Astyanax mexicanus: one gene and its partner. Each later gene encodes a partner of the first gene's protein in a complex. Links are inferred from orthologs where the notes say so. Each region holds a gene or a part of one and is shown on either strand. Other genes may lie near its edges. The genes, in order: os9 and herpud1.

Region 1 (17,010 bases):
TTGAACATTTACATGAACAACAAATGATTGCATGCATGAACATGGAACTGAAAGGAAAGAGGACGCAGGTAAGTGTTTGTTAATAAGAGACAGAGAAGATGACTGAACAGAATAAATGAAGTGTAAAAGTATTTAGATTTTTTTTGTATGGTGATTTTTGAAGTAAACCTTGACACTGGGTCCAATTTTCCATTAGCCTTTTCTCTCGGGAAGCAATACCTGAATCAGCTAATTTGGATGTCAGATTAAAGGGAGGAATCTGTTTTTTGCTTTGATTACCCAAACAAAGAATACAGTAACTCAGCCAGCCAGTTTCTCAATAATTAAAGAACAGAATACCAAATTCATACAAACTCATCCCCTTTCAGTGGATTTAGAGCTTAATAACATGGCACATTGTAAAACAAATATTTCAAATGATCCACCAAAAAACATAAATCCTCAAAAACTAAATAAGGTATAATACTGTTGGCAAAATTATTTCCATGAATGGCTAAGATGCTATTTTACATCAGGCAAGTTCTGTGTAAAATTATTACAGTATTACAATAAGTAAAATTGTCCTAGCATTACAATAAGTAAAACAAGCAAGCAGGCCTGTCACAATGTGTTTTTTTTTTTATATGGAGATACTTAAAGTAAACATGTTTTATCCATTTTTTATCCATCATGACACGCTTAAGTTGCTGTCAAACCACTCCCAAAAAGACCAAATGCAAGTCTTTCTAAAACGATCTCAAAACAGCAGTCACACCGATTCTTACAAGAAATTAACTTCAAAGCAGTGCAGCAGTCACCCGATTTGATTAGAAGCAGCAAGACAGAGAAGAGAACAGAAATTATGTGAAGTGACTAAGAGCTTACAGTGGTCATTCAGAAAAGGAAAGGCAAGGGTTAGTCAGGAAAAGCCAAGCCAAAGAGAGAGAGTTGAGCTAAACTATATGAACACACACAGGAGGACAGCATTTAAAGTGTGTGTGTGCACTTTCTGGCCTACCTTCGGCCTTGATGCCAGCCTTTCCTAGCTGCTCTGTGACCACATCCTTAATCTGCTGCCACTGGGGGTCACTTTCGCCCAGCTCTCGCACCTGCACACCTCCCTCACGACCATCGCCCCCGGCAACCGCTCCCGCAGCCACGTCTCCACCCACCTTATACTTAGTCACCCTGATTTTTACCTGCTCCCCATTGCCAAGCTCCCGTGCTGAGGTGACAAGACACAGAAAGGGGGAGGGAGGGGGGGGTTACCCTATATGGCGGGGGATTAAAAAAAAAGCTACCCTTCCTGTTTTCCAGTATGTGGTTCACAACTCAATGGTGAAATTATTTTTATTTATTGAGAGATGAGGTGATAGGTGTTTCATAAACGATCACACTATCACAGGGAAACAAAAGCAAAGTCAGAAACAGTGAATGCTGACAGATTATGAACATGATGTATGCTTATCTACATACATCAATTAAGCATTTCTACACCATTATCCATTTTCCAAGTCCATTGAGCATATAAACGACTTTTAAATTTCTATAATTACAGACTGTAGTCCTTCTCTTTCTCTGCATATGTTATTATCCTACTTTTACCCTGTTTCTCAATGTTCTGGACCCCACAAGAGAGACCACCACAAAGTGACACTGGCAAAGTGTTGGTGTTTATTGTGCTGGTATGAGTGGGTCTGTTCCTATATGCTCAGTGGAGCAAGAATAAAAAAAAAATAGATAATGTGTGGAAAAACAAGAAGCGATCATAAATGTTATGCTCGAACAGTGAAGATGCTTATAAACATATGTGATTTAATAAATGTATGAAATGAAAATTAAAAGTAAACATAACATGGAAATATCATTTTCCATTTACACAAAATATGCATCAATTAACCTTATACTGGTTTACTGAATTCTGATTCTGGATAGCCGGTCCAACACATTTTGGTGTCCAATACATTTTTTGCATAATTTATAGGCTCAAAAAATGATTGAGCAGGGACACCAAACTGTGCAGGATACCAGACATCCAGGCCAGAACTGAATCATTTTTCAGCACTTTTTTGACTCACCCATCATTTTGTTTACCTGGGGTTTTGGGGACAAGACTGGGACCACCACTAGCAGAGTCTGTTTCTGTCTCAGGTGGATCTTGTGTGTTTTTTTGTGGGTTTGTATGAGCTTCTGTATCTTCTGATTCTGCATCCTCTCCCGTCCTATCCTCCAAACGATCCAGAAGTTTGCCTAAAGTGTTCTCCAAAGTCTGAGTTGCTTGGGACCGATCAAATTCCCCCTTCAGGCCCTCTGATTCTAATTCCTGCTGAGCCTGAAATGCACACAAAAAAGGTTTAGTAAGTTCAAAGCTTACATTGTGCACCACTCTATAATAAGAACTATATATGCAGCTCAAAAAGGTTAAGCAATAATATATATAAAATAAAACTAAGCTACTGTACCCAGGGTTTTCCATTCCTTAAACTAATCTTCAACAGCTTGCCAAGCAAATACTGGTGTAATAGATCACAACAGAAAGATGAGACAATTTTTTTGGGTCAGCAAAAAAGTAATTTTATCTTCCAGTTTGTGCTATTGCAGCCTGTGATAGAACATTTGTATTGAGCAATTGCTCCTCATGATCGTTTTTTTTTTTTTTTCATTTGATGGGTAGTGGTAAAAGCTGGAAACCAGTACCTCTTCTATGATGTTATCAAACTCTTTCTCCATTTCTTCTTTTATTTCTTCAATCTTGGAAGGAGGCACAGTCAGATCAGCCATTTCTTCCTCAAACTCCTTAAGAAGTTGCTCATCTTCATCTCCTTCCTCTTTGTCAACCTCGGTTTCTTTCATCTTTGCCTCCTCAGGTTCACTTTTTTGTGAAGGTGACTGGCTTTTCTCATTTTTGTGATGTGCCTTCTTTTTTAAAAGAAACACAGCATGGGTTATTTAGATTTCCCTGTATCAGTTTAAACACATGTGAGATGAGACTGCTTGCATTACTCACTTTTTTGTTGCTCTCCCTGAGGTGCTGAACAAACTTCATTAGGTCAGCAGGGTCTGTGATTATTTTAAAATTAAACTTTTCCTCCCCGAATACTGCAAAGACAGAAAGATTATTGAAAAGTTTGTGTTCTCTGAAGTAGCAAGATCATTTCAAACTTCCAGTAAATAACTAAGATTTTTCCGTTTTTTCTCCTTTTTGTTAGAGTATCCTAAGACTGGTAACATGGAGAAGTGTGTTTGCTATCAGTATGTTTGCTACACCTACACTAATCTATCAAGTAAATAAAGCTGAAGTTGCTTTAGAACAACCAGACAATTATTTTTCCCCTTTATCTGTTAAGTTGATATAGACTACATTTTTCTTACGGTCATTGTCTTGAGGCTGGTTTTCCAGAGAATCATCAAACTCCTGCAGAAACATATTTAAACGTCCATTAGCATGGCAGCTCTTGGAATGCTTAATTAGAAAAAATGAACAATGTCAAAACATGCCGAGGTGGTCTTTTTTTCTGTTTTCCTGCTTTTGTTGGAGTAACCATTCCTACAGTCCAGCTTTCAACTTTATTTTGGAGCATTGTTGATTGGATTTGAATGCAGCGTTAGTAAGCTTAGGATGCTAAAAGATCACCACTCCCACCACATAACCTACGCCATACCCTGATGCGCACCTCCCCAAAAATGTAACTATGGGACAGATAGCCGCAATTATTCGAACCTTGTAGTCCAGTACACACATACCCACTTTCAAGGTTTTTAGGCAAACAATGTTCCTTGGCATTAAACATACCTGTGCTTCAGGTGTCTGTTGATCTGTACTCTCTGGTTTGGTGACACCATCCCAGAAATCTTTATCATCTGGCTCCACATTGGCCAATTCAGCCTCTTCCTCTACAGCCTCTGCTCATAAAAAAACAACACACATGAAAGAGAAGGATAATAACAAGAGGAACAAATAACATACGGCCACAGACTTGGAATACTGACCTTTATCCTCAGTCTCTGAGGCCAGCTTATAACTGGATGCTGCAGACTCTTCTTCTATTTTGTCATTTGCTGCTGCTGTCGTCTCACTGGTTTGATCTTTGGACAAAATTTGATCCAGGTTTCTTAGCTCTTCTGAGATCTGCTCCACTTTACGTTTAGTGTCAGCTGAGGACAGACACCAAAGGCCGACATAAGCACCCACCAGCAGAAAAAGAGAAAAGAGAAACATTGAGCATAACAGAGAGGGTGAGAAAGAGTGTGGCAGCATGTGGTAGGTGAAAATGAATTCACAGATTAAATAAAAAAAATAATAATAATAATTATGAATTGTGAGATCTGCACTTACAGACTTGCGCTTTGACATAGTCCATGTACTGCTGAGCACTGAGAGCAGGCTGACACACAATGCCCTGTGGTTTGGCAGAGGAGGGTGGGCGCAGGAGTGGGTGTTGACACGTGCGAGAGGTGTGTATGGTGAGAACATAGCGACAGGACTGAGGTTCATCCACACGAGCAATAAAATCACTTGAACTCTCCTCACAAACAAACTAGAAGAGAAAAAGGCACATTTCAGGTAATCAAATTCCATCACAGCCATAGCAACCACATTTTTATGAAGCAACTTCACATAATCATGAGTGCCCATTTATTTAAATCATTCCTAAATGATTTTGCAAAGAGGTCTCACCCTGACTTCTGACTCCCTTGGGCTGCCATTTAGATCACACTTGGAACCATTGATATAAGACTGGCTGTGGTATCTCTTCAGCTTGTGTTGTTTAGTGGCCTAAAACATAAAGAGAAAATTAGGTATAGTAAATTCTCTCTTATGATATAAAGAGTAATTTTACTATTTTACAAAAAACTAAGCTTTACCTTTGCAGTTTCATTGGTCCAGTCAAATTCTGATTCAAAATAACCCAGGAAGAGGACATCACCCTTGATTTCTGAATCTGAAATAATAACAAATAAAAAAATAATACTTTGTGAAATTAACAGACATGTCTGTAAGGGTGTGCGTGTGTGTATATATACACCTTTTATAATGACAAATGTGTAGTGCTGTTTGCAATGTAATGCTAAACAATATAGAAAAATAATATGTAACAAAAGGTAAAAGAGAGAATGAAAGAGAAAGAGAGTGACATTGTGCGTGTGTGTTTGTTTGTACACACTATATGTTAAAGATTATATACTCCACCTTCCAAATGATACTGTCGAATGTGCTGGCCATAACAGAACTCATAGGTCCACCAGTCTTTGGTCTGTGTGGAGAACATATTAAAAACAATCTCAAAAAAACTTTTTTTCAGACTTTTTTTATTACAAAACAGTTTTTGTTAGACTGTGCACATAAAGAGTTTAGGCTAAAACCTTGACAAGGCAGGGAGCAGTCTGCATGGGCTTCAGGAGCTCAGTGATCCCCGGTCCACTGTAGCCCTGAGAGTCAGCCTCTGGTACAGGATCCTGGTGGAAGCGGACTGCCTGGGCAGGTAAGCGACACTCATACAGCTGCTTGTACTTGTTGGAGACCAACATTACATCCTCCACCTGGCAGAGAAATAATGACAGGGCAAGATAAGTGACATTTGAACACAAAAGCACAAATTATTAGGAAATAGGTATTCTACAGTCTGTTAATTAGTAATATATACATCTTATATATATATATATATACATATATATATATATATATATATATGTATATATATATATATATACATATATATATATTCAAATAACACCAGTTGGGGTTGGATCTTTGCCTGCCGGGAGACGGGCGGCAGTGTTAGGGGGCTAGCTGACAGTACGCCGGCAGTATTAAAAACTGTCAGGGAGCTTCCTGACAGTATTACTACTACGGCATACTGTCAGCTAGCTCCCTGACAGTTTTTAAAACTGCCGGCATAGTGTCAGGAAGCTACCTGACAGTTTTTAATACTGCCGGCGTACTGTCAGCTAGCCCCTTGACAGTTTTTAGCAGTGCCGGCGTACTGTCAGCTAGCTCCCTGACAGTTTTTAGTAGTGCCGGCGTACTGTCAGGAAGCTATAACTCAATAACTCTCAATAACACTTCAGTTTCTGAATCAGTGTCTGTAATTTTGCTATTTATAAGTATGTTTGAGTAAAATGAATATAGCTTTTTTTCTATAAACTACGAACAACATTTCTTCCAAAATCCCCCCCCCCCCCCCAAAAAAAAAAACACACACATTGTTATTTAGAGCATTTATTTGCAAAAAATGAGAAATGGCTAAAATCACAAAAAAGATGCAACAAAACAAGTTCATATTCATAAAGGTTTAGAAATCAATATTTGGTGGAATAACCCTGGCTTTTAATCACAGTTGTTTTCATGCATCTTGGCATGTTCTCCTTCACCAGTCTTAAACACTGCTTTTGGATAACTTTATGCCACTCCTGGTGCAAAAAATTAAAGCAGTTCAGCTTGGATTGACAGCTTGTGATCATCCATCTTCCTTGGTTTGGTAAAATCAAAGAAACTCAGAATAATTTTTAATAAAGAATAATTTTTAAGTGGTACTCATTTTTTTCCAGAGCTGTAGATTTAACATAACCACACAACTACTCGATCTAAACCGTAGTTAACTAACATAGCAAACAAATAAACAGTTAGTGCTACAGAGGACAGGTGAATACAATTTCCCAAACTAAGCCACATATGATGGAGATGCAATTTCTCTTTTATGCCACACAACAAGCAGAAAGCTCGTATAAGCCAAAACATGCCTGGTTAACAGCACTGTGACACGATATATAAATTACCTAGCAGCTGTCAGACAAGACTAACTAATAACACATAAAGAGGATAGCCTAGCTAACCGTTATATTTAGCCAAGATAATTTAGATGAAGAATAAGAGTGAAATTTATAACGACAGTAAATATTTAGCACCTACAGGCTCTTCCAGATAGACAAGGTAGCGTTAGCTGGTCAGCGAGTCGTTGTTTTTGGTGCTAAGACTGTTGCTGTCTTATCAAAATAACGTTGTAAAGCTAACGAACCAGGCTAATGCTAGCTAACTAGCTTAGCTAACTACCTCAGCCTGCAGACTTACCTGGCCCATGATAACCGGGTCTGGCAGAATCTGGATGCCATATTTCATTTCATTTAATTCCTCTAAATTCAGGAAAGCAGAGGCGAAAAGGAGACATATCAAAAACAAAACATACAGCCCCCTCAAACACCTAACCAAGGAAGCAGCCATGTTTCCCTCACATCCCAAACTGGCGTTGTCAGTTCACTTGTTATTTGTTGTAAGACAACGGACGTGTGCGAAACAGCACGCGGATTGGACAACGTCGAAGAACCTCCCTACGCGATTGGGTAGAGAAAACGTCAGTCAAGCCAGCAGTGTGTTCTCATTGGATAACAAGTTAAACAGGTTATTCCATAGCCACGACAAGGGTATTTATTGGACCGATAATTTAGTTACAGAGCCGGTGTCTATGGAGAGCGTACTACCCATTTACTATCCCCGCCGTTATATTAGAAAATCACTGCAACCGATAGAGGGAGCCATCGAGTGAGTCCAAAATGAATGGGGGTGAATTGAGCTAAACGAATAAAACCTCAAATTAAAAATAATAGCTATAAACTTGTCCAGGATATTCTTTCTGTTTTGAAAAATAAAATGATGTATGTTGTTAAAAAATCTAAGATAACTAATCTATGCATTTTAGTTTTCTTCAGTAAATGGATTTAAGGCAACACATGCGCTAGCATTAGTGCTACTGGGAGCTGACTGGTTGGTGTCAGAGCATGATTACAAGACTTATAACTGGAGTTTAAAAGCTTTAAAAATTATATCTTCCGTACTGAAACATTATATATTGATGTTGTTGGTTAAGGAAATTAGTACATTTTTCAGTATGAAAAGTATTTAACATTTTAAAACTTCAATTTTTATCTTTTGCACCATATTAACCCATTCATTTTCGACTCAATCGGGAGCGCCATCTGGTGTTTAAACAAAACTTTAATAGATTCTCACGAGGTTTTAACCTCTTTATTAGAGATGTTCTGATTTGGCCATTTCAAAAAATTGGTTGGAGTTTCAGCTTTTCAAACCAAGGAGTGGCATAAGGTTGTCCAAAAGCAGTGTACAAGACTGGTGGAGGAGAACATGTCAAGATGTATGAAAACTGTTACTAAAAACCAGGGTTATTCCACCAAATATTGATTTCTGATCTTTTAAAACGTTATGATTATGAACGTGTTTTCTTTGCATTATTTAAGTTCTGGAGTTTTTTTTTTTGTTATTTTAGCCATTTCTCATTTTCTACGAATAAACGCTCTAAATGACAATATTTTTTATTTGGAATTTGGGAGAAATGTCTGTAGTTTATAGAATAAAACAATAATGTTAATTTTACACAAACATATTGTGGCGTGGAAGAGGAAGGAAGACCCGTGAGACTCATGATGAATGCTCATAAGCTCTTTTATTAAACAGGCTTGCCACTCACTTACAGTCTTTAACAAGACTAGGAGAGGTAAAACCATTCACCCACAGAACTCTAATAGCCCAAAGGCCACCAACCCAGCTGTGTGTCTCCCAGATGGCAGATCCAGAGTGGTGCCCACCCTCTCTGCATAACCCCTCCTAAGGGAGATGCCCCACCCCTGTCATCCTCGCACACAGGAGAACAGAAACATACCTGCAGGCAGCCACACACACAACCCAGAGCCGCCACATAGCCCCCCTCCCAAGGGTCAGCCGTCCCGGCGACCCCACCAACCCAACACAAACCCCGTGTACAACAGAACTTTTTTTTTTTACAATCAGTTGCAAACAAAGTCATTAAAGCTCACCTTCCGTCGTTTTTTCTTTCATTTTAAAATGTCTAGTTGTGGTCTCTAGTATGAATGAATGACATGTGAGCCGTTTTTGTAAAAAAAAAAGTGCTCAGGTGTCTCTGTATAGCTCTTTTTTAATGGACTGTTTTAGGGGTGTGTCCAAAATGACCGGATTCCAGCTTTGCTCATGAATATTCATACATGCAAACAGCATTGCAAATATCTCTCCTCTGATTGGCTAGGAGCACTGCGACGCCCCTCCACCGCTCTGCCGCTCACTGCCTCCCACCTCCTAACTGATGAGCGGTGATGTTGCGTCGCTTCAGCTCCGCCTCTGGGAGTTTCTCGAGCCAAGGTGGGCTGGTCTGTGAGTTTCTGCCTACGTAGGCAGAAAGATAATTCAAAATTCACCCGTTTTTCGGAGGGGGGGAGGGGGGATTTCTTTGCTTAGCTCCTGCAGACAATGGGGGCTGCAAAACAGTTTAATGTGCAGGTGTACACATTCAACTCGGAGAGACCTACTGTATTCCACAAAAAACAAGAAAAATCGGATTTTCGCGGAAGGTGACCTTTAAGGCGGGCGGGCGGCCTCCGTGCCCGCGGCAGCCTGGAGGGGCCGGGCACGGCACCACCTGCCAGCGGCTCCGAAGAGCCAGAGTTCAGGTCAGGCACGAGTGCAAGGCCGGCAGGCTCCGCACCACAGTGTCTGACAGTCTCGGCCTATAGGGGGCCAGCCTATCACGGTGCACAATCATAGTGCGTCTGCCCCACCGGATCTTATACACCACCTCCCCCAGCCTGGACAGCACCAAGCACGGACCCACCCAGGCCGACTGGAGCTTCGGGCACAGTCCCTTCTTCCGCTGAGGGTTATATAGCCAAACCCTCGCCCCCACCGCCAACAGGTCCCCAAAGCAGCGTGTGTCGTACGCACGCCTCTGCTTCTGTCCGGCAGCAGACTGGTTGGAGCGCGCTAGACGGTGTGCTAATTCCAGCGAAGACATAAGGTCCGAGACAAAAGTGGGCGTGTCCGAAGCGTACCCGCCCCCGTCAGGAGGCGCCCCAAAAGCCAGGGAGACCGGCGTCCTCAGTTCGCGCCCGAACATAAGCAGAGCCGGCGTGAATCCCGTCGTCTCCTGCACAGCGGAGCGACAGGCCAGCAGCACTACCGGCGCTGCCCGTTCGCCGGATCCTCCCAGATATGGCACAGCACGCCGTCGGACAAACTAAAACTAGCCCAGTTGGAGCGCAACGCCTTAGCAATCGGGCCCAGAGGCACCACCTCCCCCCACGACAGTGTGATGTTCGCACTGAACCTGCGACAGGACTGCTCCGAGGCCGTGGTCGCTGACATCAGTATCCACAATGAAACTCTCAGACACCTTCGGATACGCTAGAATCGGAGCATTGCACAGGCGGCTTTTTAGCTCCTCGAATGCCCGCTCCGCCTCGTCAGACCAGCGGAATTTCACACTAGGCTTAGTCAGAGCATGAAGCGGCGCTGCCACGTCCACGAACCCCCTAATAAACCGCCTGTAATACGAGGCGAGCCCCACGAAGCTGCGAACCATTTTAGCGTCTCGCGGCGTGGGCCAGTCACGGACCGCCTCCATCTTTTTGGGATCGGTTTCCACGCCAGCACCGCTCATTACGTGGCCCAGGAAGCTCACACGCTGCCTTAGCAGATTACACTTTGCCGGATTGAGCTTCAGGTTAGCCGCCTGAATCGCGCTGACCACCATTTCAAGGTGAGACAGTGCGGAGTCGAAGTCGGTTCCGTGCGCCAAGACATCATCCAAATAAACGACGCAGCACGACCGCGAACCCCGCATAAAACACGCTCCATAAGACGCTCAAAAGTAGCCGGCGAGTTACACAATCCGAACGGAAGCACCGTGAAATGCCATAGGGCTGAGCCGAGCGAGAAAGCGGTTTTCTCCCTATCCCCCGCCGCGAGGAGTACCTGCCAATATCCGCTCCTCAGGTCTAACGAGCTGAACCAGGCTGAGCCAGACAGCTGGTCCAGCGTATCGTCGATCCTGGGGAGCTGGTAGGAGTCAAGCTTCGTGACAGCGTTAAGTCGCCGATAATCCACGCAAAAGCGCCAGTTTCCATCCTTCTTTTTCGCAAGGACCACTGGGGCCGACCACGGGCTGCTCGAAGGCTCAATAATGCCTGTACTCGCCATCTCGCGGACTAACTGCTCCGCCGCTACGCTTTGCTAACGCCAGACGGTGCGGCCTCAGCCTGATGGGCTGGGCGTCACCCGTGTTTATCGAATGCACCGCAAGGCTAGTTTTAGTACACTCGCGCTCAGACACAGCGAAACTCGTGCGAAAACGGCCGATCAGATCGCGCAAACGGAGTTGTTGGGGACTCACAACTGCGCTCCAGCATCTCCTCTATCGGATCTACACTCAACCACGCATCCAGCGGACCCTCTACCGTATCACGCACCAAATCACACACATTCCCTCCCACCAGTTCACTTACCCCTAACTCGTCACGTATCTCTACGGGGAGTCCAGTCACCAGCACCGAGCCCCGTGCACAGTCAATGATAGCTCCGACGCGTGAGAGCAGGTCCTTGCCCAGAATGCACGGGTCGTTGATGCGTCCTACCCAGAACTGTTGTTGAAAGGGCCCCTTGCCGACATCAATCGTCAACTCCGTTAATCCTAGGAGACCTATAGGATCCCCGGTGACTGAAGAGAGAGCGATGCGCTGGCTGTTGTCAGTCACAAACTCGGCCGCTACCTCCGTCGCTAGCTCGGTCCGTATCAGTGAGACTGACGAGCCCGTGTCCACCAGCGCGTTCACCGTCACTCCATTCAATGTGCATTTCAGGAAATAGCCGCTGAGTCCGGCAATTCCTGCGTCTGTCCGCCACTAGCATTTTGGCGGCCGCCTCCGACGGTTGGCGGCTGAAACGTGTTCTCAGCGCCCGCGTCAGTTCAGGCAGCTCGCAGCGGCACTCGGCGGGGAGCTCGATCAGTACCCTCAGCGCGTCGCCCCGCAGCGCCAGGCAGAGGTTGGCTGCCGTCTCGGCGTCCGTCCAGCCCGCACCGCCCGCCACGATCTCAAGCTGAGCTCCGAAGGCTGTCCAGTCAGCGCTGCCGTCGTAGGGGGTAAGGCGGGGTTGAGCCGTCAAGCCCGCCATCCTGGAGGCTTGCGCCGCCATCATCGCGCCGTCCGTTCCGCGAGTCAGCGCCGCTGCCCTTGCGCCATCCGCTCCGTGAGCCAGCGCCGCCGTCCTCGCGCCATCCGCTCTGGGAGTCAGCGCCGCCGTCCGAGAGGGGGTTACAGCCTTTATTGTACTGTACCGTGACGTTTTACGTGACAGTGCCGCGAGACAGTGTCACGTGCACCCCCTAGTGGTGCAGGCCAGTTACTGCAGTGGCATGCTGTGTCACAGGACAGTGTACTGTGCTGTGACGTTTTACGTGACAGTGCCGCGAGACAGTGTCACGTGTCACGACTGGTGCACGCCAGTTACTGCAGTGGCATACTTTACATGGATGTGACGGTGCTACGTGCAAATAAAGAAATAGAGAGCATTAATTTTGCAGTAGAATGATAACAAATACTTTATATTAACCATTTTTATTCTGCAATGGGTGTTATACAATTTTAATAATGTAATAATAATTGTCCTGTACATTTCATTCGGATGTATTACATGCTCTGATTTTTTGTTTTTTTCTAAAATAATAACTTAATAATATCTTATAAACTTATGACAATGACATAATGATGTAGCACATGTGAGTTTACATGTAAATATACATGATACATATATAAGTGTGTCAGTTCATAAAAAAAAAAAAATACTATTATTACATGCTCTCTGATTAATTAATGCTGTCATGTGCCAGAAACGGCAGACATGCTTTTATCTTAAAAGTCCTTTAGTGGCGCATGTCACTGCTGTTACGCAACTCTTTCATGGTTGCGCGTGGCACTGTCTCGAGATGCTGCTGGTCACTACTTGGGGGTACACGTAACCATAGACTTATAGTAAAAAGTATGACCAAGTGTAGTATTGTATAAAGTAAGATATGTTTTACAATAATATTAATTAGTATAACATTATTAATAGATTTAACTCTAAATAGAGCAATAAGTAGTCTAGTAAATGTAAATTTGAGTAATTTAAAAATCAATTAAGAATACTATAGTATATGCAGTTTAAACTGAATAAAACAGTACAGTAAATACAAGTAGTTAATAAATAATGAGTAGTGATTAGTAGTTTAAATAGCACAATAATGTAATAGTATACTATAAATGAATAAGATACATTTGAACTTTTAGAACTCTTAAGAGCAAATGGTCAAGTACAGCTGCTATTATAGTATGACTGTCTGAATGAATATCCTATGAACTTCACATATTGTCATGCGATTTAAGCAGCTGATTTAACTCGCAATATTAACAGTCAAAAGCACAGCAGCCGTCCTTGATTTGAAATCAGAAGTAACAGCCTGGCTCAGCTAGGTAAAGAGCCGTTTCCCCTTCACAACACTTTTTTACGCGCTGCAAGTGTAAATAAAACTGTCAGGTCCCACTGTCACTGTCTAACTGCTATGTAAAGTATGCCACTGCAGTAACTGGCCTGCACCACTAGGGGGTGCACGTGACACTGTCTCGCGGCACTGTCACGTAAAACGTCACAGCACAGTACACTGTCCAGTAACAGAACATGCCATTGCAGTAACTGGCCTGCACCACTAGGGGGTGCACGTGACACTGTCTCGCGGCACTGTCACGTAAAACGTCACAGCACAGTACACTGTCCCGTGACACAGCATGCCACTGCAGTAACTGGCCTGCACCACTAGGGGGTGCACGTGACACTGTCACGTAAAACGTCACAGCACAGTACACTGTCCCGTGACACAGCATGCCACTGCAGTAACTGGCCTGCACCACTAGGGGGTCCACGTGACATTGTCTCGCGGCACTGTCACGTAAAACGTCACGGTACAGTACAATGAAGGCTGTAACTGCTGCTCCGCCGTCCTCGCGCCATCCGCTCTGGGAGCCAGCGCCGCCGTGCTCGTGTCGTCCTCTCCCCGGCCACGACCTCCGAACAGCCCACTGGCGCCGTCAGGTCCGAGTCCACTCCGCTGGAGAGCCTTGCCTCTAGTCCGTTGGTCCGCTGTCTTCCTCCTCAGCCGTTCGATTTCCCCTGCCAGCAGCTCAATATCTTCCAGCAGGGTCACTTCTGACACCAAATGTGGCGTGGAAGAGGAAGGAAGACACGTGAGACACATGATGAATGCTAATAAACTCTTTTATGAAACAGGCTTGCCACTCACTTACAGTCTTTAACAAGACTAGGAGAGGTAAAACCATTCACCCACAGAACTCTAATTGCCCAAAGGCCACCAACCCAGCTGTGTGTCTCCCAGATGGCAGATCCAGAGTGGTGCCCACCCTCTCTGCATAACCCCTCCCAAGGGAGATGCCCCACCCCTGTCATCCTCGCACACAGGAGAACAGAAACATGCCTGCAGGCAGCCACACACACAACCCAGAGCCGCCACAATATAAAATATAAATAGCAAAATCAGAGGAACCGATTCAGAAACGAAAGTGGTCCCTTATTTTTTTCCAGAGCTAGATATGTATAAGGCTTGTATTTAACTTTACATACACTTAATATGATTGTTTGTATTCTACTCCTATGGCATGTACTGTGGTCTTGTAGTGTAGAAATGGGAATTTTAATAACAATGATTAATATTATTATTTGTGAAAAGCACCTTTCACGTAAAAGCATTGTGAATGTATATTCAGAGTCCCAACATTAACCGATGCCTATTGGGCAATGTTAAATAATGCAAGCATTAAAAAACTCAGCGTTTATTAAATGTTCTTTGCTATTGGGGGGAGGGGAGGAGGGTGGGTTATGGGAGCTTGTCGGAATACGGGTGGAGTGGGAGCAGCGTGGCGGAGGGGATGGCTATTAGCAGCGCTGCAGAGGCGCAGTAACTCCGTTGGAATTAGCCTCCGCCAGAGGGGTAGCTTCACCGTCTACATCCATCTCTCCTTCCATCCCGGTTATATCAGTGGTGGATGTCATGCCACTGGATTTTCTGCCCCCATCAGCAGCGGGCAGTGATTCAATGCAGGGAATTCCGAGCTAATGATTCAGAGGACATTGTTGAGGATTCCAGCGCTGGAAAGGTAAGGGTTATTTATGGCAGCTGATTTTTTTTTTTGCTGCTGGTCTGATTTGATTTCTCCAGGTCTGACGTTTGCAAATGCAATAATTGCAGCTGATAGTCACAGCACTACGCGCACAACGACAGATTTATGCGATTTAGGAAAATGTGATAAATATGGTTTATCATCCAGGGTGGAATTTCGGGCGTTGATGCATCATAACGCGAGCGATAGGCCTGGCATGTAATTTATTTGCTCGTGTTGTTGGGTCTGCTGTGGTCCTGTAGTACTGCATGTGCTGGGTGGCTTACAGCGTATCTCGCGTCGTCCAGTGCAGCTTGTAATAATAAGCCGCGGCGCGTCTCGTGCTGAGTGGTTTTCGCTAAAGCAGGATCGCTGCACATGCCCGCTCTCTGCACATACTGTACATCCCTCTCATGAACTAAGCGTGTTGCTACGATAGCACAGCAGCTCAGGCCTCCACTGCACTTCCACAGGGTCTGCGCATGGGGCTTTAACGAGAGCCTACAGTAATGGGATGGTTACACAGAATTTAAGGCCGGTTATGCAAAGAAAATTAAATTAATAGGCCATTTTTACATAAAGCCTATTGGCTTTGATAGTGGCGATTTGTTTATTACAGGTGAACTTAACGAATGAATGGGTGTGTTTGCATCCAAATCGTCTCTCTCTCTCTCTCTCTCTCTCTCTCTCTCTCTCTCCTTCTCTCTCTCTCCTTCTCTCTCTGTATTTCTACCTCCCCACCCACTAAGAGCCATCACTTAGGATTGTTATTAGCCTTTTAGATGGTCTAATTCAACAGACCACGCCCTACGATAGTGTGAGTAGGCACATTCCTGAACTGGATGCGGAGGAGACTGGCCTCCTATAGGGAGTGAGGATAAGCCATAACCTGAGTTATTGCTTCTTGTTCTTGGTTACTGCCAGGACTAGGGCTGGGCAATATTTAACAAAAGTCATCTCGATATTCTCCAACTATATGAGCGATCCTCCAATACGATTACGATTTTTAGTTCAAATAAACTTCTGTTTTATTTGTAAACAGAGAGTACAATTTTAATGATGCCAAAGCTACTGTTTTCTTTACATTTAATTTAAAACTTGCATGCAGCTTTTATTTAAAATATTAAAATCACGGCCACATTACAGCTTTTATTACGTATAGATAACAATCTCCATTATCTCATTCATTTCACGAATTGCAATGATGTAGCGATGCATGTGAGAGGGTATGGGAATGCATGGGATATGGAATGGTGATGATGAAGACTTTAAACCTGAAGGATTTTTAATACAAGTCAAATCTAGTTATATAGAGAGTTATTAGTAACTTCCCTTATTTAAATAAACTCAAAAGTAAAAACCATGCAGGAAACTCTCTGTTGTATTAGGCTTTCTGGTTGTACTCCGTGGTTATATTTCAGTGTGTTTTTCTTGGTCAGTATAATGTATGTGATACCAGAATGTAGTACTCATGCTTAAACAGAAGGTACAGTAGAGCCCCTGAGAACTAATTGCTGTGGCTGCACTACTAACCTCTCATAATGGCCCTTTCCCTATTGATCCATTCTTATTGACCACGTCTAGAGGCACATTTGTGATCTTCCTGCGTCTAATGCCACGGTTTTTATCCAGAACTGCCTACTGTATATTGCTGTGGATGTCTAAAATGCACTAAAAACACTTACTAACTCAGCTGGCCACTAGCATCATTCATTATTATCTGGTTAAATGTAGGGTCTGACATTTTATGTCAGGATAACATAAAAAGAACATAAATTGGATGTAGAGTAGTGTCAGCAACTATCAACAATGTTGATATTTTTGGTTGGTTTAAAGTTGTTAAGTAAAAATAGTTGTATATGATGTACATTTAGTTGTGAACATTTGTAAAATGTCATAATGCTAATTGACACACTATAAATTTCTAATATTTTAATTTGTTACTTCCAGCCAAAAAGTCTATTTTACGGTGGGGTTTAACATCAACGCAATTTTCATTTTTATCTTAAATTAAACATTTGTAAG
Region 2 (16,379 bases), on another chromosome or scaffold:
CCTGGCCTGAGCTCTGTGTCTGAAAGGGAACCAGCCTGCAGTGTGCCTAAAGACAGCAGAGGAGAACAGTTTAGATGCAATCCAGGAAATGTAAGCATAGAGACAGACACTGAACTCAGTGCCTGTTATAGGACACCATGGGTGCTAAAATAGCTTAGCATGTGTTCAGCTGCTGGACTCCATATATCACGACAAACACACTTTTACAGCAATGCAGCTGGAAATATCCACAGAGTCTGTTTACACCACAAGGTCAAGTTTACGGACAGTATGAGAAGGTCAGCTTCGCTCTGTGTGCTTTCAAACCAAGCTAATCATTGCCTTTAAAGAGAGCGTATGGAAAAGCCCGCAATCCGCAGTGCCACGTCTACACAGATAAAGTTTATCTGAAGCTGTAGCAGTGGGTCCTTGAGCTGACACACAGTTCTAATCTGCTCGGAGCAGCTGGAGGGTGAAGAAGAGAGTCCCACACTGTGCATTACTGCTAACACTGCAGTTAGTGCGAGACCCAATGGACAATCATATACAGACAGAGCATGGTGACCATAATGACTAGAGAGAGGCAAGGCACTATAAATGAGCTATTTGACAATAGTCTGCTCTTTCCTTTTGTCTCTTTCCCTCATCTCCCTCCTTCCCTTGTGTGCGTAGGAGAATGCTGAGTCACAGTCCAAAGCTACAAGAAGGCACAGAGGACACCGCTTTCTTGACTATAAACATAGAGCTGTGTCCTCTGAACCAGATATACCAATTATTTTCTAGAAAGTACTAACGGAGTTCATTATTACTGTGATATGCTTTTAATTTTTTTCCAATAATCCCACGTTCAGAAAACAGAGAGAACTCTTAGTGCTGTACTGTAGTACTGTGCTCACGTGGGGTAGAGGTGCTTAAATTAAATTAATTATTTAAATTAATTACCACATTTCACATGATTATCTGGATATCCAACAGCGATATCATACATTGCATTTTTGGTCAAAATCTTGCACTCCTAGCATCTAGCATTCGTTAATGACATAGCATGACGGCCCTAAAAGTGTAACAAGAAGAAGCTAACCCAGACACTTCTTCAGTTTATGGTCCAGTTTATCCACCATAAATACTCAACTAGCTTATTTTTCTGCTTATCAATATGATGCAGTATGCTGTCTGTGCCACTTACAGGTACATGAGGAACAGGCTGCTCATCACTAAGATGAAGCGACTCAAGTTGGAGTAGAAGTAAACGATGCTCAGGAACACAGCAAAACGGCTGGCAGTGTAAACCCAATCAAGCCAATCACGCTCCACGTCATCCTCATCCTCCATTACTGGCCCACCCTGTGCATTCATCCGCAGATTTTGATTGGCTCCTTCCGGGTTGATGAAGGCAGGGTCTGGGGCATTCTGATTGGCTGGCAGGTTGTCAATCGGGCCCTGATTTGGCAGAGCTGCAGGTACAGCAGCTTGATGTTGAGCAACAGGAAGTGTAGAAGGAGCAGGAGGGGCCACAGGAGTAGTGGCAGCTGCCATGGCAGCTTGGCTGAAAGACAAATTACAATATTAAGCATACAGCAATCATGCGCAATTAGGGGTGGGTGATATGGTAAACATATCACAATATTTAAAGACATTTTCACAATATACAATGTTGATTACAACATTCTGACACTTAAAATGTATTAGTAGTGGTGATTCTTTAGTGATTATCACTAATAAAGTCCAGCTCTGGCCAGCTGGCGCCTTTAGAATCTGCATTATTCAATGACAATAGCTTGAGTGATATACATTATTACACACTGATATTGATATAGCACTAATGTTCTAGAGCATAGAAAATGCATCCCAGTTAGAGATTTGGTTGAATGCAATATAGTTCATATGCATATGTATATATTTTACAAGTTTTTAGTGCCATGCTCATGTTGTGAATCGAAAGGAATTAAGAAATAATTAGGTTAATACTTACTACTGCATGTAGTACTGGCGAGCATACATATGCTGCAGCCACAGTAGCTGCTGTGGACTGTACAGTGAGTAAGTAGGGAAGGCTGGATGGTTCATTGCTGCTGGCCTGGAAACAGAAAACATACACTTAAACAAGCAAGGAAAAACATTATCTCTGAAACAGCTAGAATCAGAGAAATGAGACTGTCATTTTGGTAAAATGTTATGCAGGTAAAATGTTCTTTGTTGCATTTTTTAGTACATTTCACCCCCAGAGCCTGTACCAACCACTGACAGTCATTATCAGGCAGACAGGAAACAGTGGGAACTCACGTGGATGTGCTCGTGCCAGTGCCTGTGGCAGGCCATGCTGCATGGGGCACAGCAGGGGCGGGGTGACCCCGCTGTCTGAGGCCGCTGGTGGAGGGCACAGTAGGCACAGATGGCGCTGGAGCGGCAGAGTTTGTGCTCTGCCGAGCGGGAGCTGGAGCTGAAGCCGAAGAGGGCTGCTGCTCTGCTGGTTTGACCTGCACCAGAAATGAGGGACAAAAGTTGATTTGAATACAAAAAAATTTAAAGTGCAATGAGGACACAAAACACATTCACACTGAAACTCTGAAATCTGAAAATAACTGGCGGTTTAAATCTGATGCAAAATTTGTGCTCTCCAGGGGATTATAATGAGTGCAGCTGTGCGATCGTGCTCCTTGCCACCCACTGAGCTAGCACTGCCTTCCTCAGACAGGCTCTAGCACTCACTGAAGCACAGCATGCTGTGATGCCGCGAAGAACAACACTGGTGCTGGTAATGAGACAGAACCTCACAGAAGTGTGAGGAATGCCTGGCAGTGTGAGTTCATTTTTTGTGCACTCCAAAATCTCAGGTCCCCATTTTAACTGTATATTGCAGTCAAAATCTGAAGAACTTACAATAACCTACATTATTATTTTGTATAATAAAATGTATAAAAGTACATTTATATGTATATACTAAAATGGATAAAAAAGATGTCCCCAGAAAAAAAACCTACCTTGGGTATGGCACCCTGCTGAGGACCAGGCTGGGGTTTGAAAGCACAAACAAGGTGAATAATGGGTACGGTGTCCATCTGTAAAGAGATTAACATTAATATTAGATTAAGCTCTGTCAGGTTCAGTATTATAAAGTAGCAAAAACAATTGTGTACAGTGCTTTTGTGTAAACTATTAATGAACAAAATGCATTTAAGATTATTGTTAATAACTGTGGGTGCCATACAAACAAAACTACTATGTGTTATGTAATGTAACATAATAACTGTTTCTAATAAATACTGTCATTCTTTTCAACCCCCTTCATATCCAGACATGTCACAAATTGCAATATTTCTCTTTTGACGTAAAATCTTATTTACAAGCAATAATGTGCAGCAATAATGAGGCTCAAGCTTTAAAGGAATGGAAGAGTAAGAGAAGTTCTGAGCCACTTAAAATGTTTGAGCAAGACTATTTAATAATTCAATCTGATAAAAAAATGCCATTACAGACAAAGAAAAGTTTCTTTCTAAAAGGAGAGCATTTCCAAAACAGAGCGTAAACATTTGTGTGCATGTGTTTTGTGACTGAGGGGCCACAAGGGGTGTTTAGTGCTTCTATGTGGCAGCTGGAACAACAGTAAAAACAGCCTGGCCCTCTGAACATATTTGGAGGATAGGTTTGTTGTCAGGACATGCCAAACTGTCTCAAAGTAGCTTCTTTGGGGCAGTTCATGCTGATGTTACAGGTCCTGTAGGACAGTTCACTAAGTTCATCTAAGTGTCACTGAACAGTTCTCCCAAACATCAAAGGTAAGAGGTCTAGTCATGCATGCTTAAAGGCCTTTGTTTAGTCTGATACATGTATGGCCTTTGTTGTTTGCAAGTTTTAAAGTAACGTCACAAAATCACACAAATAATTAAAAACGTGTAACTGTCTTGAAGAAACATAGCTTTAATAACATTCAGGTGCGTAACCTAACTGAAAACTTACAGATGCCAAAAACTCACCTGTCTGAAAATATCTTTGATATGCAGGTGGTCTGGAAGCAGCTTTCCGGAGTAGATAAGCCTCTGGTCTTTCTCAGGCTGGCAGGAAGAAAGTTAGAAATGTCAATACTAATGTTTAAAAATCCCCAAATATATAAAAGAGTTGTTTTACAGATGATGTTAAACTTTAGGTAATTAAAAGGAATCAAAAAACATGTAACATTATGTATGCAACATAAGCTGTATAACACAGATATTGTGAGTGGTGACAGAGTCACTGGATGTGCTAGGTTATAGTCTTGTTTCTCTGTATAAAGACCTGGTGGCACTTTACAATGTAGAAAAGTGTTTAGTGTTGTTTAGGTTTAGCCAGATAACATCAGCCCAGCTTTTAGGACTGACTAATAAATTCTCCTAATTGACAGGCTCTGCTTTGGGCTTGAGTTAACTGGCAAAACTGATCAATTCTATGTTGTGGAACATCCATCTATTTTTTTGTGTAATATTTCTTATACTTCTGTTTTTATTGCTTTATTTATTTTATAGAATATTTTAGTGCTTATAACACTGTTGCTCATTTTCTTTGGTGTGTTACCAACAAATGTTTTTTGCTTGTTTGTTGAGATTATTGTACTATTTCCCTGTTTATTGCAATTTCTTTAAAACCAATAAAACATTAAATAGAGAATGCTTAAGAATTTTGTAAATAATAATAAATAATGATATGATATTAAATAAAACATCAAATTTTCCAAGTTGACCATGTAACCTAGAAAATTAACTTTAGATTAGACATTAGGAATGTACAATATGAGTGACACTGTTGGAAATTTTGAAACTGTAGCCAAACTGAGAAAACCTGTTTTGGGAAATACCCACAGGAGACATATTAGCTAGCATTAAATAATGCTAAAATGCAGAGAAGTTAACAATACAGCATGAAGCAGCCTATCTAACGCTAGCTGTGGTGGCTAATTGGTTGACGGTCAGCTGACTGACAGGAACAGTGTGTGCGGAGAGCGAAGGAATGTGGTGTACAAAAACAGAGCTCTATCTGAAGCTACATTCGCTATTAGCTAACCAGCTAGTTTACACCGACTTTATGCTACACCAAACGATAAACCGCCCCAGTAGCTAATGTTAACAAATAACTAGCGTTAGCTACCTAACGTTATCAGCTTTATCAAACTTGTCAGTTTAGCTAGGTTTGTTAGCTAACAATGACATTGGCCGGTGTTCTGTCAGGTTGTGCTACCCTGTCAAACCGTGCTTCCTACCATAGTGTAACTTTAAAGGTAAGACGTGTAGCGTTAGGTAGGGTATTAGAATAGGCCAAATCACTGTATAAGGTAAAGTTAAAGTAATATTAGTTGATTAGAAACAATTTATGTATTTGTATATTTTTAATGCAATATACACTTTTGTAACAGTCAGGCATACAATGACATATCAAGTTCTTATTACCTTTTACTGCACCCAAGCAGTATTTTACATATTGTATTATGTAAAACAGCTATAGCTTACACAGCTAACAATGTCAACTTTAGCCGGTGTTCTGACAAGTTGTACTTTACCCTGTCAAATCGTGCTTCCTACTCTAGTGTATATTTACAGGTAAAAATGCAACAACAACAACAAAGCACCATAAAAAGCCCTATATTAGAAAAATGCTCCTGGCAGACGTGTAGCGTTAGGTAGCTAAGGAACTAAAATAGACCAAATCACTGTATCAGGTAAAGTTAAGGTCATATTAGGTAATTAAAAACAGTTTGTGTAACTTTTCATTTTACGTTATATTTGTTTACAATTATTTTTTTTAACTGCCGTATACACTTTTTGTAACACTCGAGTAAATATCATTAACAATATCATCAAAATCTCATGTATAATGGCCCCAAGAAAAACAACAGTATTTTCATGAAAACATTTAAAAAAAATTATGTCGGCGCATGCGCAGTACCGTTCGGAAGCACATATCGACGCGTAGCATAACTCGACAGAACACCGGTCAGCTTCTCGTTAGCTAGTGAGACCATAACACACCCAGGACTTACCGGTTTGGATGGATAAACTCTTGTCAGATGAGTTTTCAGATCCTTCACCGTCCAGTTAATATTTACACCCTCCACCAGCTGGTCGCCATGTATCTGATTGGGTGTTTTAACCACAAGAGATATCTCTCCTTTCTCCTGAACATTCAGGTCCTCCATTCTCTCTGTGTTCTCGTTCTTTCTCTCTTTCTTCTTCTGTCAACAGCTAAGCTATTTAGCTAGCTTGGCTAACCTCGTCAATAACGCTACGGTACCGTCTCCACAATGTTCGCAAAATAAGCCTAATAACCCCCCCAGCCTGGGTTTAAAGAGCAGCTCCGTGTGTATCCAGCTCCCTCGCTCTCCAGTACAGAGTAATAAAGCTGTCCCCCGCGGTTTCGGCTCTCACGGTGGAAGTTGATGGAGGTGAAATACTCGGGCGTGTTGTTTCCAAAACACAGTGTGGCCGCGCCTGATTGGCTAAGAGCCGCTCGCGCTTCGACGTGGAGCCTGTGAGACAGGCAGCGCAGTGCGCAGACTCGCTGCGAGATCCTGCTTAGATAATAAACTCCCCCGAGCCGCGTCACTTCGGTTAGCTACTCTGACCAGTATGATGAAATATCACCTTTATCTTAATGATTCATCGAATAAACCTTTAGAATATATTGTAAAATGTTATATTCTACTCGCAAAATATTTTATTCACAAGCAAAAATTTCAGACCCAAAACTGAGCTTTCCTACATATTTATTTAATTAATTTCCGGTCTTTTTAATTCACTTCTACAATCTTAGTAGCATCAATACAAAAAATAGAAAGTTCTTCTGTTATTATGACTTGTTTTATAATGCTGATCTATTTTTTGATTTATTGATAAGCCTTCCTCAATTAGTGTATTAATGTGTTAAGCCTGAATTATATGCCAGTGAAAAATATTCTTCCTGCAATTTACACAAAAGGAGTCTCTAATAGTCTAAAGTAAAATAAAAATAAAATCCAATTAAAATCCTATTAATATTTTAATAGCTTTTTTTAATGTCCATTTCATTGGATGCCTGTGTTTAACATTTTTATATTAGATTTGATATTGATCTTTTTACTTTACAAATCATCCATAAACAGTAATTGTAACATAATTTAAGTGTTCAGAATCACGTGAAATTAGAAACAAATAGCTCTTACTTGCTTTGTTGGCTCTAGTGCTGCCTTTGCTATGAGCATGTTGGATCCAAGAATAATGGATATTATACATATACATATAAAGGAAATAGTGAATTGATGAACAATGAATAGACCATTAGAAATGCTCTAAAATGACTTAATATGAAAAAAATGACAATGTAATTAAATATTTTTACATTTACTTCCATTAAAAAATATGATGATACAGCACAGAGTTTCTCCCTTAGATATATAGTAATATGGCCCTTTCTAAAAGTGATTTGAGTCTTTTGATAAATAATTACATTATTTAGCAAATATCAAATCAGTTTCCAAAACTATTCAAATCTTTTGATCAAATAGTTGAACATGGTTTGATAGACTCAAATCCTATTTTAAAATAGTTCAAATCAGTTTTTAAAAAAAATAGTTTAAAGAAAAAAGTGTTTCAAATCTTTTTTTTTTTTTTACAAAATTTAAATCTTTAATGTTGGTGATTCAAATTTCTGTTTAAAAGACCAGCATCTCTACAAGTCTTTTAGAATCTGATTTAAATACTTAACAAATGCCTTAAATGTTTTAAAAGGTGATTTGGATCTTTTGAACAATGATCCAAATATTTGAAAAAAATAATTTGAATTACTAAAACAATGTAAGAAGAGGAGGTAACAAGGTAGAAGTACAGAAAGCAGAAATAATCAGAAGGCTAATTGCTTAAATTTTTAATACACTTTAATATAACAAAATGCATTTGATGAATACATTACTGATTTTACTTTACTATGTTCACTGTTTATGGGCTGGACATTATTTGTTGCTGTACATTTTCTTATCCAAATTCCATTACTGGTCAGTTTATGGTTAAAATGCTGCTGTTGCGCAAGTAATTCATCTGATATAAAACTGACATCCTAGTGTGTGAGGAACCGGTGTACGTAGAAAATGTAAGTAAATGCTGGCAGTTTTACACATGCTAATGTAAATGCTGGATTGAAAGTGGGTCCACCACCTAAACATTTACAGTAAAGACCACCCCTATTGTCAAAAAACTGAGTTATAAAATTATATTACTAAACACAACAAAACCTTCAACTTCTCAGATAATATAACATATTCTAGAAATATTTTGCACAGAATTATAGGAATCAAATAAAATATTACATCACTTGGATCAGTCCTATAATGACTCAAACATTTTAGCAACAGTTCATTAGTTAAAAAAGACAAATTCAAGTGCTAGAGTGAGTACCATCTTATTTTACATTTTCTAGAACGGGGATTCATACCCTTTTTGTACTGTGCAACCCCTTTTTAGGGTTTAAAATCAGCATCCCTCTCCTCCAAGGGACTACGTCAGAATCCCCAGATTATGAACCATAGTTCTAGAGGGACCACCAGTCTCCTGTCCTGCACTTCACAGCTGCAGCTAATAAGATTTTGGCAGGTTGATCACTGGCAGTAGAAAGTGAGGACATTCTCCTGGTTCCCCCTGACCAGCAGGACTGGAGGTCGCAGGTCACGGCACACGGTCTCCAGCCAAGCCATGTAGAGTGCACTCGGGCAGGCTCCTCTCCGGCCTATGGGCATGGTCCTGCCAAGCAAAAAGCAAGGATCTCCTTCAGGTAATGAAGACATTAATAACAAAAAATGGATCCTTGCCTTATTAAGTCTTTTGGGCGCAAGTGTCTGTAGAGGCTACTTTTCACATACCAACAAATTCAGCAATCATTAAAAACTGTAGAAGCACTGGGACAGTAAAGCTGTAAAATTCTGATATAAACTTACACAATAATCAATGCAGCATCTCTCGAGTAGTCCTTTAGGACTTCGTTAAGGCGGATCTGTCTGAAAGACTGGAAAAACACACAGAAATGCATAGAAGCATTACAGAAATGCAACAAAATGTCATTATTATTATATTTGCAGTATTTGGATGGTTGTTTTTGTTGTCTTGGCTGACTAAGCAACTTAGATTTGTATCATACACTAATATAATAATAATTTTCATCATATTTCAAGGAAGCTAAAGAATGCTACATTGACTTGTGTGATATGTGTATATGGTCTCCTGAAATGAAAGCAGATTTATGCCAAAGTCATTTGTTCGTTCAGATGGACAAATCTAGCCAGATGCCGCAGGTTATGATCATTACCACACACTGTGCTGTTCATTGTGGGAGGTAATGGCACCTATAACATTTTGCTGTGACCTATGTTCCATACACATGACCCATGTCCCATCCATCTGGCACCTACACTCAAACTCAGATAATTCAGATTGCCTTGCCATGAGCAAGCTTGTGTTCAGTTCACAACACTAATAAAGACGTGGACAATCCCAAGCCGTCTCGTGTGTTCATGCTCGATCTACATACTGCATGTGTAACCCACTGTGTCACATGACCAAAAATCTAATATCTATCGTCTAATTTATTGACAAACTGCATTACTATCACCTTTATGTACTAAGAGCCCATATTGTCATTATATGAATATAGACCAATTTACCTTTTTATATATCTAAATCTTAAAACTTTTTTAAATGGTTACCTTTGCCAAATTCTTTTCAAAATCTTCATCAGACACTGTCCACGGACACTCACTGAAGGTCTGGGCACCTCTTTCTCCATTCTTTTGCATAGCATGTGCCCTGTATGGCCCTAACAGGTCTTCAAACTTCTTAACACTGTCAAAGTCGGGAGAAATTGTCACAATTAGCTGTTACACCATGTAAATGCATATTATGTAAAAAAAGCACAGTGTGGCACAAAAATGTAAGTGAGAAAAGGACTAATACTGTTCAGGCTGAGGTTTCTCGTTGATGTCAGGGAGGATTTGAATCTCATGGAATCCAAGGCGAAACTTGCTGATGAGAGCTGTTAGCCTATAGAGATGAAGAGATAAAGAGAGAGGATCAGAAGGTCTGAGGAAACCAAAAATTTAAAGTGGACAAACCTAAACACTGAGACAATCTGATTAATATTTGCATTTATGTTTTACAGCGTTGATGAATAATAAATAATACAACTTTACGTATTGCTATGTTATTTTATTTCTCTTCACAGTGATAAATGAATATACTCATCCAGATAAGTGTTTCATTTTTGCTTGACTTACTCTTGTTTCTGTTCCTCAGCATGTTGAATCTCTCCTCCCACAAACACTCTCACTTTACACCTGCCCCAGCGCTTCTTACGCTTCAGAAGGTACGGCAGCAGTAGCGTCAGGCCTGACAAAACACAGCATTAGCCAAAGTTGCATCAGTTTTAGACAGCAGTGGTTCTTGAACCTTTTAGACTATATGCCACCCATGAAAGCCCTTGCTTCTTTTTGCAATCTGATGATTGTTTCTGGTCAATGCATTATTACTACCTAGACATCTGTTTCATACTGGGTCTAATTAGTTAAGCATTAAATACAAACAAATGAAAATAGCTTCACCTCCATCATCAAACAGCCAATACACATCAATAGTCTTCTTTTCTTGCTTAGTCTGAAAGACGGTGCTGGGTTGAGTCATGGCTATAAGCGATTCAGGATCCACTGAAACAGAGACAGTTATGTACAATCTGCACAAATATGTACATATATCTTCACACAACAGTCATAGAAAAAAACATTTCACTTGCAGGCCTTATTTTTCTCTTTTTCTTATTTTTATCTCCTATGCATGACTAGACATTCTTTCACAATACAGTCTTCTACTTGGGTAAAATATTTCAACATAACATCTACCATCATCTACTATCACTTAGCTTTACTTTTAACCTGATCTATGCATACTTGATGTGCTGATGTTTCTGGCATCTAGTCCTGGTTCTGTAGCTGGATCAAACCCTGGGTTAACTGCATAAAAGAAAAAAATGCGTGGTTGGAACACAGGTTCTGTGAAACAGTTGCAAATTTAGAATTATATACATATATATATATATATATATATATATATATATATATATATATATATATATATATATATATATATATATATATATATATAAATTACAGAATGATTGTTACCATGTGCTTGCATTTGATAAGACAAATCAAGAACGTCCTTCATCCGCAGAATGCACACTCCATACTGTAGGTCAAATGCATCACTAGGAAAGAGAGTTTTATGTTCATAATGTAATGTACTGCATATCTGTATTATTAAAAATGTAGTTACAAGCAGAAGTAGATGATAAAACCAAGTACTTACTGTAAAATTCCAATATAATTTTCTATGCTGGTTGGTGGACACTTGGTCCAGTTCTTCTTAAATCCCAACATTAAGACGTTAGGCCGGATACGACCTAAACCTGCACCCTGTTGAGGCAAATCAGAATCAGACACAGTGTATACAATCATTGCATATACAAGGCTAGACTTAAACTGAACTGTATTTCTGCTAATGTAAAATGAATGTATTGTGTAGGAAAGCTGAGGATGACCTGCAGCAACATCTGGGTTCCAGTGCGCAGATCATCAGCAACCACTCCATGATAGAAAGACTTGATGCCTCTCTTGTTGAGCCACGCCACATGACTGCTACTGTTGGCAGCATCCACAGCATCAGGTGAAGGTCCTCCCTTTGGGGAAAGGTTTGGCACATATTAGGTTTGTGTATGGATGTAAATGATCCAGTAGAAAGTTGCTTAGATTATGTCATATCTATTTTGGGATACCATTCATACTATAGTACTGGCAGTGATGTATTTATGGGCTGTGCAGATGAAGCAATTGTTTTGGAGCCTGTAGCGCAGCAGGCATGTGTCCCATGGGTAACTACGAATGCAACTATTACCCTACAATAAAACACAAAGGCAACACTGTATTTGAACAGTACGAACAGTTCACATCAGTAATTGAGATGACATTGCATTCTGCCGACATAAGAGCCATGTTATATAGTAAAGACATAAGGACACTGTTATAAAGCAGCATTTTTTAATGTAGTAGATATTATAAGGCCTTTGCTTTCCCTTAAAATATGTTTTTTATGCATAAATGCCTGGGCTTTTTCATAAAACACAGTTTATCAATACAGTGGAGGGTTTTTTTCAAATTTAAAAACATTAAATAAAAAAAAACTCCCAAAGGGTCAGAATATCACTAAAGCCAAATAGCAAAAAAAGAGTGATGAACATTGTTTTTTAAAATAAACTATGATGTATCAAGCCGTAAGTGCCTTTTGCCTGTCCAAGAATAAGACAGACCCTTTTATTAGTTTCATTCTTATTGCTACACAACAATTAACTGCTGTTATGATAAATGCCAAATGTTTCCTCACTATTCTATCCTCTGCACAATTGTCCACACATATAAAGCAGTGGTGATTCTTGTCTCAGTTGGTATGGCCGACCGTGACTGACACAGACGGCCGATAGTGGTTTGATTATCACACACAGCTTTCAAAGTAAATACCAAATTCAAAGCTTGTCTGAATGACTCTGAACTGCTCTCCCAAAACTGTTTGCAGCATTTTTGCTTCCAGATGTGTGAACATAACTCAGGTGGCACAGAGATTTCAGGTCCATTATATGGGAAACTGCTCATCCTGCCTGGCATCTCTAAACTGCAAATAAAGCAGCCATAAAAAGACTGTATCTTGCTGTAAAGTAATTTTTTTCCATTCTGGTAGTTTCAAGGCTCCTGGTTTTAATCATGGTAGCCCATGTGATTGAAAGTTCCTTCACATAACTGTATTGGATATAGTGAAACTTATTTTGCTTTTTGAATTATTTATAATTTTGATAAATGTTCGGATTGAAAATGAACTAGTGTCATTTACTTCATGACATTTACTGGTCTTACAGGTCTGTGTTATAAAAATACATTATTCAATGCTTATTTATGTTATATGAAGTTGTAGTGCAAAGTGCTACCAGACACTTTAACAGTGCATATTTTTAGAATATTATTGGTTGTGTTTTTTTCTCTGTTCAGTGTAGCATTATTTTGTGACCAAGGGACAAAGCAAAAGTCATGGCACACAATACTAGTTCCTGTCCCACTTGCTATTGGGCATGAAAGCAGAGATATAAATACAAATACATGCAAATACCTTTCTAAACTTAGATTAAGAAAGAGAGAAAGACTTACAACAACAATGTTTCCACACAACATCAAACTCTGGTTTTTGGTGAAGGTACCTACAAAGTCCACCAGAGCTGGCCGCAAACTGGGTGGCCCAGTGAGAACCAGACACTGAGGTCTAAGAGGTAAAAAGAGAAGAATGAAAGCGGAACACAGAAAATAAAGATAAAGAATAAATGTCAGAAATATAAGAATTACTTAATAAAAAAAACACCTGTAGTTCTTTATGTGTTCTTCTACTTGGTTGAGACCCACACACTGGGACAGTGCCATGTTATAGGAGCCTGCTTGCACTGAGGATCCCCAGTTTACAGCTAAAATGAAAAAGAAATCAGCAGTTACTCAGAAAGAACATGGGCTTGACTGGGCAACTTTTTGTTTCTGATTGTGTACTGATCTTACATGGTTTCTTGTAAAGCACGTATGCCAGCAGAAAGATCACTATCCCTATGGCTATGAGAGCGGCCCACCAGGTGAGGAGGAACATGATGATGACCGACACCACAGCACCCACTAAAGACGCCCACTTACTGTAGAAGCGGAAAGAGGGACGCCAGCCTGCACATAAACACAATGAAAGTCACATGTGTCTTGCAGTTATGAACTGCGCTACAGGTCGAAATGAGTCAAAACAGCCATAAAGCACTAAACTTTCATACTTGGATATATAATATTTAGATGTCTTAAGCATCAGATTGTGAGTATCTGGAAATTTATGCATACAGAGTTCCTGCTAGTGTGGTGGGACTGACCAGGAGAGTTGGTGATGGAGGCATGGAAACAGCTGAAGTTAATGAGGGCGTAGGAGCACAGGAAGAAGTTGGAGATGATGGGAGCGATGGTGTTCAGCTCAGCTGAAACAGTAAAATTCATGTCTTTTTCCAAACTTTTTTAGTATAACTGTAAATCTAATGTCTAAATTAGGTCTATACATAAGCTAATGGACTGATTATAAAAAGGTTGCCTACCAATAAGAATGAAGCAAACAGCAATCACATAGGTTAGGAGGTAGCTTCTGTATGGCTCATCGTTCTTCCCATAGCCCTTCCCAAAAAAGCCAATCACCGGATACAACCTGTCTTTGCACAGGCACTGAGGAATAAAACAGAACAGATAAAAATATAAGCTCCCTGGATAAAAAGTAGAATCACTTGTATATATTATTTCTGAATTATATTGATTTACAGCAGGAAATCACTATTATTACACCAGAATTAGTTTCTTTGGGGAGTTCATGCTTATTTTAGTTGGTTAGTTAAGTGTGGCTGTGTTGAGTGTGGGAGGGTTTAGGAACTTATGGGGGGAGCTCCCAGTTTGCTTAGTGGTCACCCTTTTTAATTGATTGGGGATATTTAGGGGGTGTTGTGTTGATTTATGAAGGGTTATGTTGATTTGTATGTGGTTTATTTTTTTGTGGTGTTTCTGCTCGCAGAGCATTGTTAACCCTCCTGAATTTGGGGTGGAGGGTGGATAAGAGCCTCAGACAATGGACCTGTCATTTTAGAAGAGTATTTCTGTTTATTGGCAGTCATTCTGATCTTCTATCTAAATTCTAAACTGCTCAGCGGAAGTATGTCCCAGCCTCGTTTTTCTACCCTGGTGATGCAACGATGTACTCATACACTTATATAATACAATAATACTCATACAGTTGCATATCCTAGCCTAGAAAGTAGGGTTCAGACCACAAGGTTATCATTTTAATACTGCCCTGGCCTGGAGTGGACAGGGTTGGGGCCTGGCTTGGGGGCTCATTCACTTATAATGGCCAATAATGGCATCTTACCAGATAGGGGGTTTAAGCCTGAGCCCTCTAATCAATAACCCAGTGGTTTAATCAATAAACCTTTTTAAGTGTAATTTACATTTTTTACACACTATAAATCATACAATATTTTTTGCCACATATTAATCACCTGAAATACTTTGGGTGCTGAAACCAGGCAAGCCAGTGCTGAGGACAGAGTAGCTCCAAATATACCAGCTGCAATCAGAGGAGCAAATCCAGACACCATGCTCATAGTCTGAAGCAAAAAAAAAAATACACATTACTACTGAAACTTAACAAATCTTAGAACTCTGTATGCAATATTACATGGTCTGGGTCAGCAAGTAATGCCTGACATCCCCTATAATGAGCTGTTGATGATTAACTGATGAAAGGGTTTGACACTGGCAATCAAAAGGAGTTATCAGTACCTGATAATAGTTACTAAGGCCATAAGTGCAGGTCTTGTTGGTGATGCAGTCACTAAAGTTCCAGCCATAGCTGCAGCCCAATCCCAGGCAGTCTTCAGCACCAGGCCCAGACATTAATGTGTCATTAAGGCTACCAGAGGCATCTCGGATAACACAGGAGCCTGAGACAGAAAAGACCATACAAAGTCAGGTATGCATTTTATTCACATTTTACTACACAATTACTGTTTTTTGACAAATGAAGCATAAAATGTGGAATCTATAAAATGTATATATTTTAAATATATATACTAATCAGCCGTAGCAGTAAAGCCGTGAATGTAAAAACATTGAATATTTGGTCATACTGTGGGATCTAAATATTAGGCAGCAAATGAACAGTAAGTTCTTAAAGTTGATGTGTTAGAAGCTAAATAAATAGGCTTGCATAAGAATCAGTAGTTGATCTGACTCATTAAATGGACCTATTAAATGTACAACTGGTGAACCAGCAATCAACAAGGTGCCCTAGCCATCCGACTTTGTCCAATCCTATAAAAGAGCTACTGCTGCTCAAATTGCTACTGTTTATTAAGCTTATATAAGACATCCACACAAAATATTTATTGGTTTTAATGTTAGGGCTGATCAAAGTATGTTTTCATCTTGAACAAGATTAAACAAAAAAAAAAACTATAAAAAAGACACTGTTCTGAAATTTTTCATAAACAAATGACAGAGGTAAGCCATTTTTCTATAGAGAATTTATTTAGTTTCAATTTATATAACCACAACTCACCAATAGTAGCTGAGATGATGAGATAAGACACAGTGGTCCAGAAAATGGCTAGCATTGTGCCCCGGGGGATAGCCACATTGGGATCCTACAAGCATATGGTGTTTTAAGTCACTTAGAAAGGCAGAGAATAACCGTTGGACAGAGATGCAAAGATCTAGCAGCCTGTATGTAAGCCAAGGGGATCTCAAGGGATTTATCCAG

What was found.
Region 2: os9 (region 1) and herpud1 share a complex: the UniProt entries of both Homo sapiens proteins name them as parts of the HRD1 complex. The link is inferred for Astyanax mexicanus from reciprocal best matches to the Homo sapiens genes OS9 and HERPUD1.

Annotation. Positions count from the first base shown.
Region 1 is NC_064412.1:17,469,953-17,486,962, reverse strand, and holds the start of os9 (protein OS-9), read right to left. Parts: upstream 7,243-17,010; 5' UTR 7,199-7,242; coding exon 7,049-7,198; intron 5,521-7,048; coding exon 5,344-5,520; intron 5,235-5,343; coding exon 5,171-5,234; intron 4,923-5,170; coding exon 4,846-4,922; intron 4,757-4,845; coding exon 4,658-4,756; intron 4,518-4,657; coding exon 4,316-4,517; intron 4,135-4,315; coding exon 3,970-4,134; intron 3,883-3,969; coding exon 3,773-3,882; intron 3,395-3,772; coding exon 3,352-3,394; intron 3,079-3,351; coding exon 2,987-3,078; intron 2,899-2,986; coding exon 2,677-2,898; intron 2,312-2,676; coding exon 2,074-2,311; intron 1,205-2,073; coding exon 998-1,204; intron 1-997. UniProt on the Homo sapiens protein: Lectin component of the HRD1 complex, which functions in endoplasmic reticulum (ER) quality control and ER-associated degradation (ERAD).
Region 2 is NC_064416.1:22,554,002-22,570,380, reverse strand, and holds the start of herpud1 (homocysteine-responsive endoplasmic reticulum-resident ubiquitin-like domain member 1 protein), read right to left. Parts: upstream 6,450-16,379; 5' UTR 6,143-6,449; coding exon 5,987-6,142; intron 4,032-5,986; coding exon 3,954-4,031; intron 3,039-3,953; coding exon 2,961-3,038; intron 2,457-2,960; coding exon 2,263-2,456; intron 2,057-2,262; coding exon 1,952-2,056; intron 1,526-1,951; coding exon 1,166-1,525; intron 47-1,165; coding exon 1-46. Other genes in the region: slc12a3 (solute carrier family 12 member 3), read right to left, coding at 8,573-8,714, 8,909-8,976, 9,674-9,809, 9,921-10,007, 10,241-10,352, 10,565-10,666, 10,907-10,969, 11,141-11,223 and 10 more. UniProt on the Homo sapiens protein: Component of the endoplasmic reticulum quality control (ERQC) system also called ER-associated degradation (ERAD) involved in ubiquitin-dependent degradation of misfolded endoplasmic reticulum proteins.